Linked DNA regions of Cricetulus griseus. The protein of the gene in region 1 purifies or fractionates together with the protein of each later gene. This does not show direct contact. Links are inferred from orthologs where the notes say so. Each region holds a gene or a part of one and is shown in the gene's direction. Other genes may lie near its edges. The genes, in order: Kpna6, Chd8, Kpnb1 and Rnmt.

The links.
Region 2: the proteins of Kpna6 (region 1) and Chd8 purify together in Homo sapiens (affinity purification with mass spectrometry; 4 studies listed by BioGRID and IntAct, with this or other methods). This does not show direct contact. The link is inferred for Cricetulus griseus from reciprocal best matches to the Homo sapiens genes KPNA6 and CHD8.
Region 3: the proteins of Kpna6 (region 1) and Kpnb1 purify together in Homo sapiens (affinity purification with mass spectrometry; 4 studies listed by BioGRID and IntAct, with this or other methods). This does not show direct contact. The link is inferred for Cricetulus griseus from reciprocal best matches to the Homo sapiens genes KPNA6 and KPNB1.
Region 4: the proteins of Kpna6 (region 1) and Rnmt purify together in Homo sapiens (co-immunoprecipitation; 3 studies listed by BioGRID and IntAct, counting the BioPlex papers as one, with this or other methods). This does not show direct contact. The link is inferred for Cricetulus griseus from reciprocal best matches to the Homo sapiens genes KPNA6 and RNMT.

Annotation. Positions count from the first base shown.
Region 1 is NC_048595.1:23,370,871-23,374,436, forward strand, and holds part of Kpna6 (importin subunit alpha-7), read left to right. Parts: intron 1-317; coding exon 318-417; intron 418-1,802; coding exon 1,803-1,897; intron 1,898-3,322; coding exon 3,323-3,454; intron 3,455-3,566. UniProt on the Homo sapiens protein: Functions in nuclear protein import as an adapter protein for nuclear receptor KPNB1. Binds specifically and directly to substrates containing either a simple or bipartite NLS motif.
Region 2 is NW_023276807.1:207,296,694-207,300,259, reverse strand, and holds part of Chd8 (chromodomain-helicase-DNA-binding protein 8), read left to right. Parts: intron 1-72; coding exon 73-253; intron 254-332; coding exon 333-422; intron 423-894; coding exon 895-998; intron 999-2,179; coding exon 2,180-2,309; intron 2,310-2,894; exon of another isoform or gene 2,895-3,004; intron 3,005-3,566. UniProt on the Homo sapiens protein: ATP-dependent chromatin-remodeling factor, it slides nucleosomes along DNA; nucleosome sliding requires ATP. Acts as a transcription repressor by remodeling chromatin structure and recruiting histone H1 to target genes.
Region 3 is NC_048600.1:110,325,235-110,328,800, reverse strand, and holds part of Kpnb1 (importin subunit beta-1), read left to right. Parts: intron 1-336; coding exon 337-396; intron 397-1,049; coding exon 1,050-1,139; intron 1,140-1,542; coding exon 1,543-1,653; intron 1,654-3,566.
Region 4 is NC_048595.1:171,101,447-171,105,594, reverse strand, and holds the start of Rnmt (mRNA cap guanine-N7 methyltransferase), read left to right. Parts: upstream 1-1,300; 5' UTR 1,301-1,446; intron 1,447-1,669; exon of another isoform or gene 1,670-1,827; intron 1,828-4,148. UniProt on the Homo sapiens protein: Catalytic subunit of the mRNA-capping methyltransferase RNMT:RAMAC complex that methylates the N7 position of the added guanosine to the 5'-cap structure of mRNAs. Binds RNA containing 5'-terminal GpppC.

The DNA of each region.
Region 1 (3,566 bases):
TGTTCTCAGAGCAGAAGTTGGGTAGCCATGCCATCTCGTATCTTTGTAATCATGTTATGGTCTTCCTTGCCTTTTGTGGTCAGTCAGCTTAACCACTCAGCAAGGATGCAAAGAATTTGAAAAAAACATTCAAGGACATCATTGGTTACATCACAGATTAGGAATCGCTTTCAAATATTGTATCTTGAAGCAGACTTGGATCTACTATGCCATTCTCTTACTTGAGGCTCTTAAAAAGCAGGAAGCCATGCAGAATGATATGCTTTCATTTGGCTTTATTATTATCCACAAGGTCATCAACCTATTTTATTTTCTAGGAGAGTGTGATCACAAGAGAGATGGTGGAGATGCTCTTTTCTGACGATTCTGACTTACAGTTAGCAACCACACAGAAATTCCGGAAACTCCTCTCCAAAGGTATAAAGCCGGGTCCTTCTCAGAGAGGTGCTGTATGACTTAGCCTCTTGACTCTTTTTACTTAACTACTACCTATTGCTCATTCTACTGTAGCCTTCTTCCTGGCCAGGTTTTCTTTGAAAAAGTCAGGCACATTCCCACATTAACACTTGATATTCCCTCTGCTAATTCTTCTTTTCTCAAAAATTCTATCAGCATTTCTTTCACCTATCCTTTTTTTCCCTAAGAGTTTTTAATTATGTGTGTATGCCACATGAGTATGTGTGCTCACAGAGGCCAGAAGAGGATGTCAGATCCTCTGGAGCTGGAGGTAGAATCTCTTCTGAGTCGCTTGGCATGCATGGATAGGTGCTGAGGACAGAACTCTGCAAAAGCAGTGAGTACTCTAACGCTGAGCTGTGTCTCCAGCCCCCAGTTACACCTTTTTCTATTGTGTTTGTTTTTCCAGAGTGCGTTTCTCTGTGTAGCTCTGGCTGTCTTGGAACTCTCTGTAGACCAGGCTGGCCTTAAACTCTCAAAGATCCACCTGCCTCTGTCTCCCTAGTGCTGGAATTAAAGGCGAGTGTCACCACTGTCCAGCCAGTTACAACTTGTTAATGAAGCCTGTTGTCCTGTTTTCTGACTCTTAAAATGTGTTAGAGAAGAGTATACAGATGAAACTCTTCGTTTTTCTTTCCTCCTTTTCTTTTCCTTCATTTTTTTAAAAGATAGTCTTGTTATTCTTGAATTCAAGATACTCCTGCCTTAACCTCCCCAGTTCTGGTACAGCCAGGTATTGATAGCAAATAACCTTTAATGTCAGCACTGGGGATTCAGAGGCAGGTGGATCTCTGTGAGTTCCAGGCTAGCTTGGGTTTATACAGTGAAACTATGTCTTGATAAAAGTAGAAGACTATCCTTACTACTGCTTTCTAACAGCCCACCTTTCACTGCCACACTAAGTTCTGTGAGTGCAGGGACTTTGGCTTGGTTCATACTCTATCCTTAGTGTCTAGAACTGTCTTACCGAGTTGCTCTATAAAAATTTGATGTATCAGATGTGCAAGGCTCTGCTATTGGTTTTCCGTCCTGAAAACAAGGTATATGATAGCAAAAGAATCTCTTGCTGCTTGAGCATATTAAACATCCCTCCCAAGAAAAAAGCAGTGAAGTAGGATAGGGTTGCGTTCCTTGGACTTTTTTCATTCCTTTTCTGTTATGTTCACATTTAGTAAGCCATAGCTGAGCATATCTAAAATAGGTTTGCCTTTATACTTGTAACATGCAGTTTGTAGATGAGCAAAGACAGTTTTGCAATGTTTGTAAGAGTGGTCAGAAGCATCCAAAACTGTGAATGGATCAGCAAAGCTTCCCTGACTTTTGGTGTCTTTCCTATCTCCCTCTAGAGCCGAGTCCTCCAATAGATGAAGTTATTAACACTCCAGGAGTAGTTGACCGGTTTGTGGAGTTTCTGAAAAGGAGTGAGAATTGTACATTACAGGTAAAAGCGCTCAGGCATGAGACGGTGGGTCAAAGTTCTCAAGAACTCACAGTGGGTTTCTGCAGGCATATCTTTTTTTTTTTTTTAAAGATTTATTTATTACGTATACAGTGTTCTGCCTGCATGTATGCCTGCAGGCCAGAAGAAGGCACCAGATCTCATTACGGATGGTTGTGAGCCACCATGTAGTTGCTGGGAATTGAACTCAGGACCTCTGGAAGAACAACCAGTGCTCTTAATCTCTGAGCCATCTCTCCAGCCCCCTGTAGGCCTATCTTAAGGGAATGGAAAAGTAATATAGAGAAACTATCAATTGAAGTATCTTCCTTAAAATCTGTTTCAGGGCTGGGTGTGGTAGCACAACCTTTGCAACCGAGCAAAGAAAGACAAATCTCTGTTTGAAGCCAGCCAAGTCTGCACTTTGAGTGTCTTTTTTATTTTTTTTAAGAAAAATATCCTGCTGGACAGTGATAGCATACACCTTTAATCTCAGCACTTGGGAGGCAGAGGCAGGCAGATCTCTGTGAGTTCGAGGCTAGGCTGGTCTCCAGAGCGACTGTCAGGATAGGCTCCAAAGCTACACAGAGAAACCCTGTCTCGAAAACCAAAACAAAATAAAACCAAAACAAAACAAAAAAAGATCTCAATAATTATGTGAGGTAATTTGTGAACCTGGCTCAGTTTCCACAATGTATATATACATAAAACATGTTGTACATGATGAAAAAAAAAATATTTGAAGCCAGATGTGGCAGCATACACAAATATTTTCAGCATACAGCAGGCTGGGGCATGAGAACTGCCACAAGTTTGATACCAGCCTGGGCTACATAGCAAGACCATTTCTCAAGAAAGAGAAAGAAAGAAAGCTCATGAAGAAAAGTTTTGATTTCAGAGATCCCAGAATGCGATACACTGATTGTCATTATAAATCAGAGGGCCTATTATACCTCTAACTTGGTGACCTGATGCAGATCAATCATCCTGCCTCTCTGGGTCTCTATTTTCTAGAAACAGATAATGAGCAAGTCCATCAGAAATTTAGACACAGCAGACAGTGGGTTGACAGCCATCTCAACCAGGGACAGTGGATCATGCCTATACTTCTAGCACATAGAGCCCAGAAGCAAAAGCTTAGGCCAGCCTTGGCTACAGAGTAAGACCTTGAAGAAGGGAAGGGGGAGAGAGCACACTGACATAGTTTCTCTGTGTAGCCTTGTAGACAAGACTGACCTCAAACTCTCAGAGATCCGCCTGGCCCCACACTATTACTCTTACCCTTGTTTCAGAGATGAAAAAACTGAAGCGAAGACATGAATTTGGTTTTGGTTTTTTATGTGCTAGAGCTTTGCTGTTTAAGGCAGACGGCAGGCCGGTTGCTGTGCCTAAAAGGACTTCTCATTTGTGGCCTAATCTCACTTTCAGTTTGAAGCTGCTTGGGCTCTGACAAACATTGCCTCCGGAACTTCTCAGCAGACCAAAATTGTCATTGAAGCAGGAGCTGTCCCCATTTTTATAGAGCTGCTTAACTCAGACTTTGAAGATGTACAAGAACAGGTAATGCTCAAGAGTTGATTAAAGTTTTGATGGTACTGACAGTATAGTAATAATTTATATTTAGGACAAGCTCATTGGCACATAATTTTAATCCCAGCACTTGGGAGATACA
Region 2 (3,566 bases), on another chromosome or scaffold:
AGCTCCTTCCCTTTCATTTTTCTACAAGGTATTTAAGTCCTTTTCAGGTGTAAGGGTTTTTCTCAATCCAAGTCTTTGATGTCGCCCCTTTCCCAGGTCTGTCTATCCCTGTGCCCCGTGGGCGGAAAGGGAAAAAAGTAAAGTCACAAAGTACTTTTGACATTCATAAGGCAGACTGGATCCGGAAATATAACCCTGATACTCTGTTCCAAGATGAGAGTTACAAGAAGCACTTGAAACATCAATGTAACAAGTAAGAGCACTCACTATTCAGATAAGTCTGAATGAAGGCTTGCTACATTGTTGCTAAGGTATCTCTTTCTCCCTTCTAGGGTACTGCTAAGAGTAAGGATGCTGTATTACCTGAGGCAGGAAGTTATTGGAGACCAAGCAGAGAAGGTGTTAGGGGGTGCCATAGCGAGGTACGGTTACTTTATTTAACATTTTATTCATCTGTCATCTATTAATTATCTATTTGTCATTTTGTATTGTGGAGAGAACAGGGACATGCCATGACATGCTTGTCGGACAAGTTGCCAGTGTAGGTTTTTTTCTTATGTGGGTTCTAGGGATTGAACTCAGGTTGTTGGGCTTGGTAGCAAGCACTTTCACCTACTGAACCACCTCACCAACCTCTCATTCATTCTTCATTTTATTTCTTTCTTACTCCAGGACTGACTGGTTTGCTTACTTCTTTCTATACTGTCTTTGAGATATCTGATAATTAAAAAAATCTCTGCATCAGGCCTTTAATCTTGTATTTAGCACAAGTTCATAGAAATACAGCAGAAACAGAAGCATTTAAAGTAACAGATAAAGCAAGCAACCTTTAGTAATCTTTCAAAGGGTTATCACTTTTATTTCTAACATTGCTTTACTGACTTACACATTTAGTGAGATTGACATATGGTTCCCAGTAGTGGATCAGCTGGAGGTTCCAACAACATGGTGGGATAGTGAAGCTGACAAATCCCTGCTCATTGGCGTTTTTAAGCATGGTAGGTACCATCTCCAGTACTGCTTTTCTATCAAAGAAGTGTGTCAAAAGATAATACCTTTAACAAAGTGCTTATAAGTAATTCATCACCAGAAATTTTTAGTAAGAAATAGTTCTTAAATGTATGTAGCAAACTAGTTAGTTCTATAAGCAAATGTTCAAGGAATTCCAGATGGACACTTAAATCAAAGGCAGGGAGCCTCTGTCTGTTTTTTAACCATGATTACTATAATGTTACCTCTCTATGTATTGTGGGATCTACATTAACCATATTTTCAGTAATTTTTCTTATGTTATGCTCATCTGAATGTCTCACTTGTCTAAACAGTGAGTACTAATTTCTTAGCAGTTTTTGCCTAATAAGAAATTCCAGGCCGGGTTGTGGTGGCACACACCTTTAATCCCAGCACTCAGGAGGCAGAGGCAGGCGGATTTCTGTTGAGTTCGAGACCAGCCTGGTCTACAAGAGCTAGTTCCAGGACAGCCTCCGAAACCACAGAGAAACCCTGTCTCGAAAAACCAAAAAGAAAGAAAGAAATTCCAGGCATTAGAATCAGTGAATATTAGCTTTATCCTTTGATGTATTGGGATGTATTTTTTTTAAACATATTCTGTTTACTTCCAAAAATAAAGGTGCTTAATTTACATGTTTTTGACAAATGTAAAGGGCTAAGAAAAGTTGTGAGCAAGCCAGGTGTGGTAGTGCATCCTTTTAATCCAGCACTTAGAATGCAGAGACAGGCAGCTCTCGTGTGTCCCAGGCTAGCCAGGGCTACACAGAGAGATCCTATCTCAAAAAAACAAAAAGAAACAACAACAACAACAAAAAAGGTGGGCATTTGATTTACTAGTAAGACACAGAAGTTTAAAGTTAATATAAGTACTCACTGAGACTCTCTTTACTTTCAGGTATGTTACTAGTTCTTCATTTGAGAATGTGTGACAAAATCCATGTTATTACACTACTTTCATTTCTGTAAGAGTTGTAATCCAAAGATTATCAGTTAAATGACTGTATACACAATTTACCTTAAGATGAGTTACTTATTAAATTCTTGTCAATCACTAGATGAAAACCACAAAAGTCATAAATACAGTGTGGTATTAACACCTATCCAAGTTAGCTTGTAATGACAAAATGAATCTTTGAATGTTTTCAATCTATGGCCATTGTTCTTCTAGGCTATGAGAAATATAATACCATGAGGGCAGACCCTGCCTTGTGCTTCCTGGAAAAGGCTGGGAGGCCAGATGACAAAGCCATTGCAGCAGAACATAGGGTGTTAGATAATTTCTCCGACCTGGTGGAAGGGTAAGCATTGGTGTTCTTTCTTCACTTCTGTGTCTACTCCGTATTGCTTGTGCTGATATTACCTAACTCTAGCCTTGGCTGAATGAAGTAGGATTCCTTTTTGTTTTGCTTTGTTTTTGTTTTGAGACAGGGTCTCACAGAGTTCCAGGTCTCCCTGGCTGCCTGGAACTTGTTTTGTCAACCAGGCTGACCTCAAACTCAGAGATTCACCTGCCTCTCCCTCCTGAGTGAGATTAAAGGCATCTGCCACCATACCCAGCCCATCACTGGGATTCTTAATGGTAGTTATACTCATGTATCATAAGTTCTTACTGTAGGATAGGACCAGCAGATTGGACTCCAGACACTGGCCTTAATCACACATTGCCATCACTACAAGTGATGATCTGTGTTCTTCCCAGAAGGCTTACACAATGATCTCAGTGTAGCTGTAATAACTGAGAAGATAAACTACTTCTATTGAAAAATAATAGGCGGTTCTCATAGGTTACTTATGTGGCAGAGCTTTGGACAGTTTTAGCCCTGACTTGTAATTCCCCATGGTATCTGACACATTAAAAGGACTCATTTTACCTGGGGACATTGTCCCGATGATGAGTTGCCATGCTAATACTGAGTCACCAGGTAGGGCAATATTGCCCTGATTTGGGTGCCAGTGAGTTTAACAAAACTTCTCATGTGGAGACCTGAGGGACATTTTGCAATGATGGGTTTTGCTAAGGACTATCCATAAATTTCTGCCTGACCAAGACTGTTGATGACCACATCACCACTTGGTATAGGACCAATAAAAGAAATGCATTGATTGTAAATCATTCTGTCACCCCTTTGCTCAATAGCAAAGTAGTGAAAATTAATACATTAAAAAAAAATATGAACAGGGGGTGGAGAGATGGTGTCTTAGTTAAGGTTACTACTGCTGTGATGAAATACCATGAACAAAAGCCATTTAGGGAGGGAAGAGTTTATTTCACTCACAGTTCCAAGTAACAGTTGATTATTAAAAGTAGTAAGGGCAAGAGCTCAAACAGAGCAGGAACCTGGAGACAATCCACCTCCAATGGACTGGGGCCTAAAAAATGTCCTACTGGCCTGTCTACAGCCTATACAGGCATTTTCTCAATTGAGGTTCCCTCCCCTCAGATGACTCTAGCTTAATTTTAGATGACTCTGACTTAAATGTAACTAGCCAACACCAGTTGCTCAGTAGTTAAGAGCAATTTCAGCTCTTGGGTGTGTGTGTCTGTGTGTCTGTGT
Region 3 (3,566 bases), on another chromosome or scaffold:
TTCCTACATGTAGGGTTTTTTTTTTTTTTTTTTTTTCCCCCACTAGCTGTTGTTTAAACCTTGTGACCTACATCTTCCTGTCTGCCTCCTCTCTGATACCTTGTTTGGGAAGGTCACCTTGGGAATTAAAAGATTAAAGACTTCCTTAGAGGGAAGGAAGGGTCATACTGAAGACACCAGAGGCAAACTGCTTATAGCCCTTACTGCCTCAGGGAAGGGTGTTAGATTGTACCAGAATGTTGCAGGGCCTTGACTTAGCTACAGATTTTCTTTGTAGATCTTCAGACCTTCCTACATGCAGTTAATGCATTGCTAATGTTCTTTATTTTTTTGCAGTCTGAACGGCACTTTATCATGCAAGTGGTCTGTGAAGCCACACAGTGTCCAGATACAAGGGTAAGTTTGTTGCTTTATGAAAATTGTCTGTCCCTATCTTCCTAGGTTCAGTCATCCAGTTTGAAATTTAGGGAATCAATTAATTAAACAAGGTTTGGCTAAACCCCCCGTGGTGGTTTTGGTTTTTGAGGCAGGTTTTCTCTGTGGCCCTAGAAGCTGTCCTGGAAACTAGCTAGCTCTTGTAGACCAGGCTGGTCTCGAACTCACAGAGATCGGCCTGCTTCTGCCTCCCGAATGCTAGGACTAAAGGTGTGCGCCACCACCGCCCAGCTTTGACTAAATTTAATAGTGAAAGTTTTCTACACTGGAGACTGTTACCCTTTAAGAGGTGTGAAGGAGGTTTTGATTAACTTTGCTGATTTGGTGCCTCAAGTTGTTGCCATGATTATCCTCATCATAGAAATGGCATTGCTATTGCTGTAACCTAAACTGGACCCTTGGAGTTAGTGAAAGGGACATCTTCAGTCTAAGCAGCGTGAGTTTGTTCAGGCATTGGTAAAACATGGCGGGAGGCAGGATGAGAAGGAAGAAACAGTGAAAATGGAGGGATTGATTGGGGTCAAATGACAACATTAAGAAGGTATCCTTAGTTTATTAGGTCTACCTGTGCAGACTGTTTAGTTACATAGTAACTGTTTCATCTGTTCTTAAAGGTAAGAGTGGCTGCTTTACAGAATCTAGTGAAGATAATGTCATTGTATTACCAGTACATGGAGACATATATGGGTCCTGCCCTTTTTGCGGTAAGTATTTTATGTAATTTGAACTTGTAACTAGTTACAGGGCTCATTGCTTTTAATTGCTATTTTGTGATTTTTGTGGAGTTTTTCTTTTTTTTTTTTAACTTAACATGAAGTCAAGAAGACTACTTGAGTATGAGTGTTAGGGCTTGTTATTTAGTGTGAGACATTATTTCACACTAGTTGGTCTGGATTGCACTATGTAATTCAGGATGGCCACAAATTCAACAGTCTCCTTAAAGGGCTGAGATTACAGCTATGAGCCCTGCATGAATGGTAAATTTACCAGTGGTGTGCCAAGAAAATGTGTACTATCTTTGATTGTTAAAAAAAAATTTAACTTGGATGTCTAACGTAAATCTGTACTTACTTGGGCTCTGGGGTATCTTTTTTTTCCCTCTTTAAGATCACAATTGAAGCAATGAAAAGTGACATTGATGAAGTGGCCCTACAAGGAATAGAATTTTGGTCCAACGTCTGCGATGAGGAAATGGATTTGGCCATTGAGGCTTCAGAGGTAAGCTTGGGGTGAGCCGTTTTGAGAAGAGCTGCTGTTCTGCTGAGATCTTACACATTTTGTTTGTGGGTATCATTCTTCTAGAAGCGTTCCATTCTGACCGGGCTACTGTCCTTATAGGATTGTGGTTTTTCTGCTAGCCAGATCCCCTTAATACTGAGACAGCTCATGCTTTTTCCAGTTTCAGGTATTTGTGCTGATAATTCTTCATTGAACACAAGGGGGCAGCAGGTTGTCAGTTTATTGATATTGAGGCGGTAGCTGATAGGAAATTTTTCCCTTTTGAAATCTGAATACAAGCTCAAGTGCATAATTGAGAACAACTTATGAGCTCTGAATAAGGGGAAGGCTATCTTTGACTTGGAATTCTGACTCTGGAGCTATGCTTCCGGCCCTGCCAGTATATCCCAATACAGCCTTCCCTACACCCTGGCCTTATTTATGCAACTTGTTGCATCCTTTTGGTTTTTCTTTTGTTTTTGTTTTTTGGTTTTTCGAGACAGGGTTTCTTCGTGTATCAGTCCCGGCTGTCCTGGAAACTGACTCTGTAGACCAGGCTGGCCTTGAACTCAGAGATCCTCCTGCCTCTGCTATCTGAGTGCTGGGATTAAAGGCATGGACACCACTGCCCAGTTTTTGTGTTTTGTTTTTGTTTTTTGTTTTTCAAGACAGTTTCCTGTGTGGCTTTGAAGGCTGTCCTGGAACTAGCTCTTGTAGACCAGGCTGGTTCAAACTCACAGAGATCCACCTGCCTCCGCCACCACCATCCGGCTAACTGCCCAGCTCTTATGTGCATTGAGCCAAAAGAACATTATGTGTCAGAATTTATTGATTTTAATGTGCACTGCTCTGTGTGTTGCCCACCCTGTGTGTGTGGTGTGGTTTTTGTTTGTTTTTTAAGGTAAGTTATGTCACTGAACTTGGGACTTGCTGATAATGCTGGTGGCCAGTGCACCCATAATCCACATATCTCTGTACCTCAGTACTAGGACTATAAACTTGTAAATCATACTCAGCTGGGTTTGTTGTTTATTTTGTTTTTGAAGCAAGGTCTTCCTATGTAGCTCCAGCTGTCCTAGAACTCAGAGATCCCCATCTCTGCCTCCTTCCAAGCACTGTAATTAAAGGCATTGTCACTACACTTGGCTACACATCCAGTTTTCTGTTTTACTTTCCTTGGTTTTTTTATTTTCTTTTTGTTTTTGTTTTTGTTCTTTTCAAGATAGGGTTTCTCTGTATTGTTTTGGAGGCTGTCCTGGAACTTGCTCAGTTGACCAGGGTAGCCTCGAACTCACAGAGATTCGCCTGTCTCTACCTCCCGAGTGCTGGGATTAAAGCTGTGCGGCACCATAGCCCGGCTTTTTCCTTGGTTTTTCAAGACAGTGTCTCACTATGCAGCTTTGACTATCCTGGAACTCACTCTGTAGACCAGGCTAGCCTCGAACCAGGCCTGCCTCTCCTCCCAAGTATTGGGATTAAAGGCGTTCACCACCACTGTTGGCTATAACTTACTTAACTTTGTTGTATATGCATTGGTATGAAGGTGTCCGATTCCCTGGAACTGGAGTTATAGTTGTGAGCTACCATGTGGGTGCTAGGAATTGAAGAGCAGACAGTGCTTTTGACCACTGAGCCATTTCTCCAGCGTGTGTGTGTGTGTGTGTGTGTGTGTGTGTGTGTGTGTGTGTGTGTGTGTGTGTGTGTGTGTGTGTTGAGATGGAACTCTGCAAAACCAAGGTGAGCATTTTGCCCACTGAGTTGTTACCTCTGGATAGCAGGTTATTAATATGAATTTATGAATTAAGTTTTTTTTTTTTTTTAGATGTATTCAAGGTTGACCCTAGACACACACACACACCATTACTTTGTATACATCTGTCTATGACCCTGAACTACTTCTGTTCCTCTGTTCC
Region 4 (4,148 bases), about 150 Mb from region 1:
GACGTGTGGCTGGGGTCTGTCTGCAATGCCAGCATTAGGGAGGCCTGACATAGGATCATGAGTTTAAGTCCAGCCTGGGCTACATAATGGAAGTTTTTTTTTTTTTTATGTCAAAATTAGGTTCATTTTCTCTAAGATGACAATAGAAATATCTGGAGAAAAAACAACAAAACAAAACTCAATCATTGGATCCAACAAACTCCAATGCTTCATTCAATAAGCACACAGCGTTTTGGGGCTCAGGATCCACAAGACCTTTGCATTTGTTCATACTCATGAAAGAAAATTAACTCTTAACCTGGATAATGTCATAGAATAGAATACACAATCCCGGTTATCTGAAATTGATTTCTCATACTTGTTAAAAGTAAGCCGTTTAGTTCAAAGTTAATAAAGGAGTTGACAACCTCAGAAGGGCTAATGTCCACAAACTGCAAGTGGGAGGTGCATACTGCAAACTTGTCTACACCAAGGCCATGTTAATAAAAGTGCCTCCAAACAAATATTTAGAGGAGCAAAGCACACTTTCAAAGCTGCTTGGGACGGGTCGAATTTGCTTTAGAGTAATTCAGGAGACACTGCAAATCTGATTGTGGTTTTCCCACCACTTTGATGGAGGGATGGTGAGGCACTCCACAGGTAGAGTCTACTAAGTTCTGACCCTAATGTTGAGGTGAAAGCCTATAACGGTATGCCTCCCTCAAGAGTATGGCCTGACTACAAGCAAGGCGATAAGAAATGGCCCGTCACTCCCAAAGGTGAAGCTGATCGTTATTTTTGAAAGGACACAGCAACTAGCAAGGACGGAAGAGCAGGGCGTTAAGGACCATAACGCAAGAGGGTGTAAAACCGCACCAGGAGGAGCGAAGGCTGCCAGGACTCCAGAAGGACCTAGGACAGGGGTGACCTCTTTCGACCGGCCCCAGCGGTGGGCTCTGGAGTGCTGACGACTCCCGCCTGCAGGACGGAGGCCGCCACACACCGTGCGCGGCGCGCCTCGCTGCCGTCAGACACCCGCCCGCGGTGAAGGTGCCCTCTGGCCCCCTCCCGAAGCCCCACTGCGAACATGGACCCAGGCTACCTCTCAGGACGTGGGCGGGGGTCTCCACGGAATCCCGCCGCACGGGCCGGAAGAAGCTGCCTCGGCAAGGCGACCGGGCCAAGCCTGGTGCAGGGTGCGGTGTCACAAGACCCAGGCGAACGCTAGGCCTCCACCGCCCAGGCCAGCCGCGCCCACTAGCAACGTGCTCCGACCCACCGTGCCCGCTCGCAGGTCCACAGGCACGCCACCGCGCGAGGAACCATGGGACTCGTAGTTCCGGCGCGGAGGAGGCTACGCTCCAAGGCTGGTTGCTAATCCCGGGCGCACTCCCCGGAAGTGACGTAACAAGGCACGCGTGGCGCCGGCCGGCGTTTCCGCAAACAGAATCGTGGATGACTGTGTGGGTGAGTGTGGCGTTCGGCGTTCTGGCCTTTCCTGGCTTCTTTTGTCTTTAGTCCTGGGCGCTAAGAGCAAAGACGGGCCGAACGCCCAGACGCCTGGCTGGGCTCGCTTCTCTTCAGCCTCCTGCCTTCGGTCCTTGCCTCGTGGGGTTCATTGTGCCCGGAGCCGGAAGCAGTGTGGGCACTGCTTGTCTTGAGACGGTGGGCGCTGTTCCAGACCACACTGGCCCAGGGAGGAGAAGCCCCAGTGCTTCTTCTCGGGCCGCGGGGCTGTTATGAGGCTGCGATGGGCCGGGTGAGGTGTTGGGACCGAAAGACGGTTTGTTCTGTCTGGAGCTGAGCCGTAGGAACCTGCACCAGAGAGGTTGAGTAACAGCGGGGCCGGTAAGGGGGACAGATGAACTTGGAGAGCTGCTTGCCCCCCTCCTTCAGTTTCATCGGCTTGCACCCCGCTGTAGACGGTCAAGGTGGTCGTTCGAGGTCGTGCTTGACCGTTAGCTAGCAGGCAGAAACTGGGACGACCGAGAGAAATGATTTACTTTTGGGACGTTACCGAACTTATGGCGGGTCACATAGCCTGTGCACACCCCAACAAGCACGGTTCTGCCACCTCAGTAAAACAATTAACAGAGCCAAGTTAATAATGGAAAGCAGAAAAAGGAGATTTACTCTGTGTGACACGTCTTTGTGGGTCTTGAAATGAGGGTGAGGTTTAAGTAGGAGGCAAGAAAAATTATGTTTGGCCTAGGTGTGGGGCCGCCTAGCAAAGATGCGGGGAATGGTAGGCGGCCCCACATCTTTGCCTGGGCTTCAGTCTTTTCCTGTAAAGTGTTCTTACTCCCTTTGGCTTGTTTCTTTCCTTTCTCTCAGCATAAGATTCCTAGGGGAAATAATTCATTCATGTTCTCTCTCCCCTCTCTCACTCTTCCTCGTCTCTCCCTTCCCCCTCCCTCAACCTCCCCTTCGTTGTTTCAACAGTTTAATAGATCAAGAGACCCTGGTCTCTTTAGAATATCTTGATTTCTGTGAGGCAAGTTACAATGTGATCAGAGCCAGGTCAAAATACCCATCTCCAAGTCAGTCTATTTTTTTATCACAAAATCCTTTCTCCATTGTTCTATAGGGACATCTCTCTTTTAAGTATTTTCACTATCATTATTGATAGTTTTATTATTATTAATATTGGTGGAAAGCTGAGGATCAAACCCAGAGCCTTGAGAATGCTCTTGTGAACCAGAATTCCTAGAAAGCAGCTGTCACTACAAAGCTGTTGACTAGAATCTTGGTGATTTTTAGAACTTCGGTGATTCGGATAAGATGGAATGTTGCAAGTCCAGATCCTACTTATGTTGGCCCACCTTTAGCCTCCTTACTAGCCATTCTGCTCTATATGCAACCTAACATTTTTGTGAACATTAGGTAAATCCTTAGGAATGTATAAACAGACCTCTGGTTCTGACCAACTGAAAGGCCAACGATGCTGTCAGATAGCATTTGGGTCCTATAGTTGAGATTTCCTTGCTTTTCTGTGACCCACCTATCTGACATTTCCACCCATGTATTTGTTTGGATTTAGGATTTTCTTTCTTCTGTTATTATAAAACTTACTGGAACCGTTAGCATGTTAGAACATGGAATTTGAGTATTTAATCTGTATCCCTTAGCCATTGTCACACAAATTTGGCTCCAGAATAAACTGTTTCCCATCCTCTTTTAGGTAAGATCTATTGCTTTCTAGTGTACCAAATAAAGCACTCTATAATTGAATTGTTTGACACATAATTCTAGACATTTGCAACCATTTTGTAGTCATGGATGCTTTTATGACAGCTAATCTATGTATAAACTAAGTATAAACTGAATAAAAACCACCCTTAAATACTAATAATTTTAGGCAATAATTACAGCTAAAAATAACATTTTGCATGGTCTTATTGTAAAAGTTTCTTCTAGGCATTAAATGCTAGAGGAGAAATAAGAGTTTTGATAATTCGATGAGCAATTTTCCTTGATACTGATTTATAGTAGTTACTCTGTAAATTATTTTCCTACTTGATTTTGTTTTGTTCTCTGATTCAGTTGTTCCTATATAACGTATTTTGATATTCTGTTACTTTGAGTCAATATTCAAAGCTAGTGAAAACTAGTGTCTCCTGAAATCCTCAGTTTCCAGTGACTTGTTTTTACCTGTTAATATAAATAATGTTCTCTTTGTTATGCAGAAGGCCTTTAAAAGTAATTTACTTTAAAAGTAATTTACCTCTTGTTTTAGTGATTCTTCTATTGTGATAAGATACTGTGACCAAGGCAAACTTTTACAAGAGTTTATTTTGGGCTTACAGTTTCAGAGGTTTAGAGTCCATGACAATCACTTCACAGACATGGCAGCAGGCAGGTTCTGGAGCAATAGCTGAAGAGTTTACATCTTGATTCAGAAGCACAGGGCAGAGTGCTATCTGGGAATAACCTGACTTTTGAAACTACAAAGCCCACTCATGGTGACATGACCTCTTCCACCAAGGATATACCTTCTAGTTCCTGCCAAACTGTAGCACTAACTGAGATCAAATATTTGAACCTATGAGGGCCATTCTCATTCAAACCACTGCATGTCTTCATTACTTTTAGAACCTGAGATATCATGGTCTCCAATTTTGTTGATTTTTGATTTCCCTTTTTCATTTCTTTCAGTAATACAGCTTGAT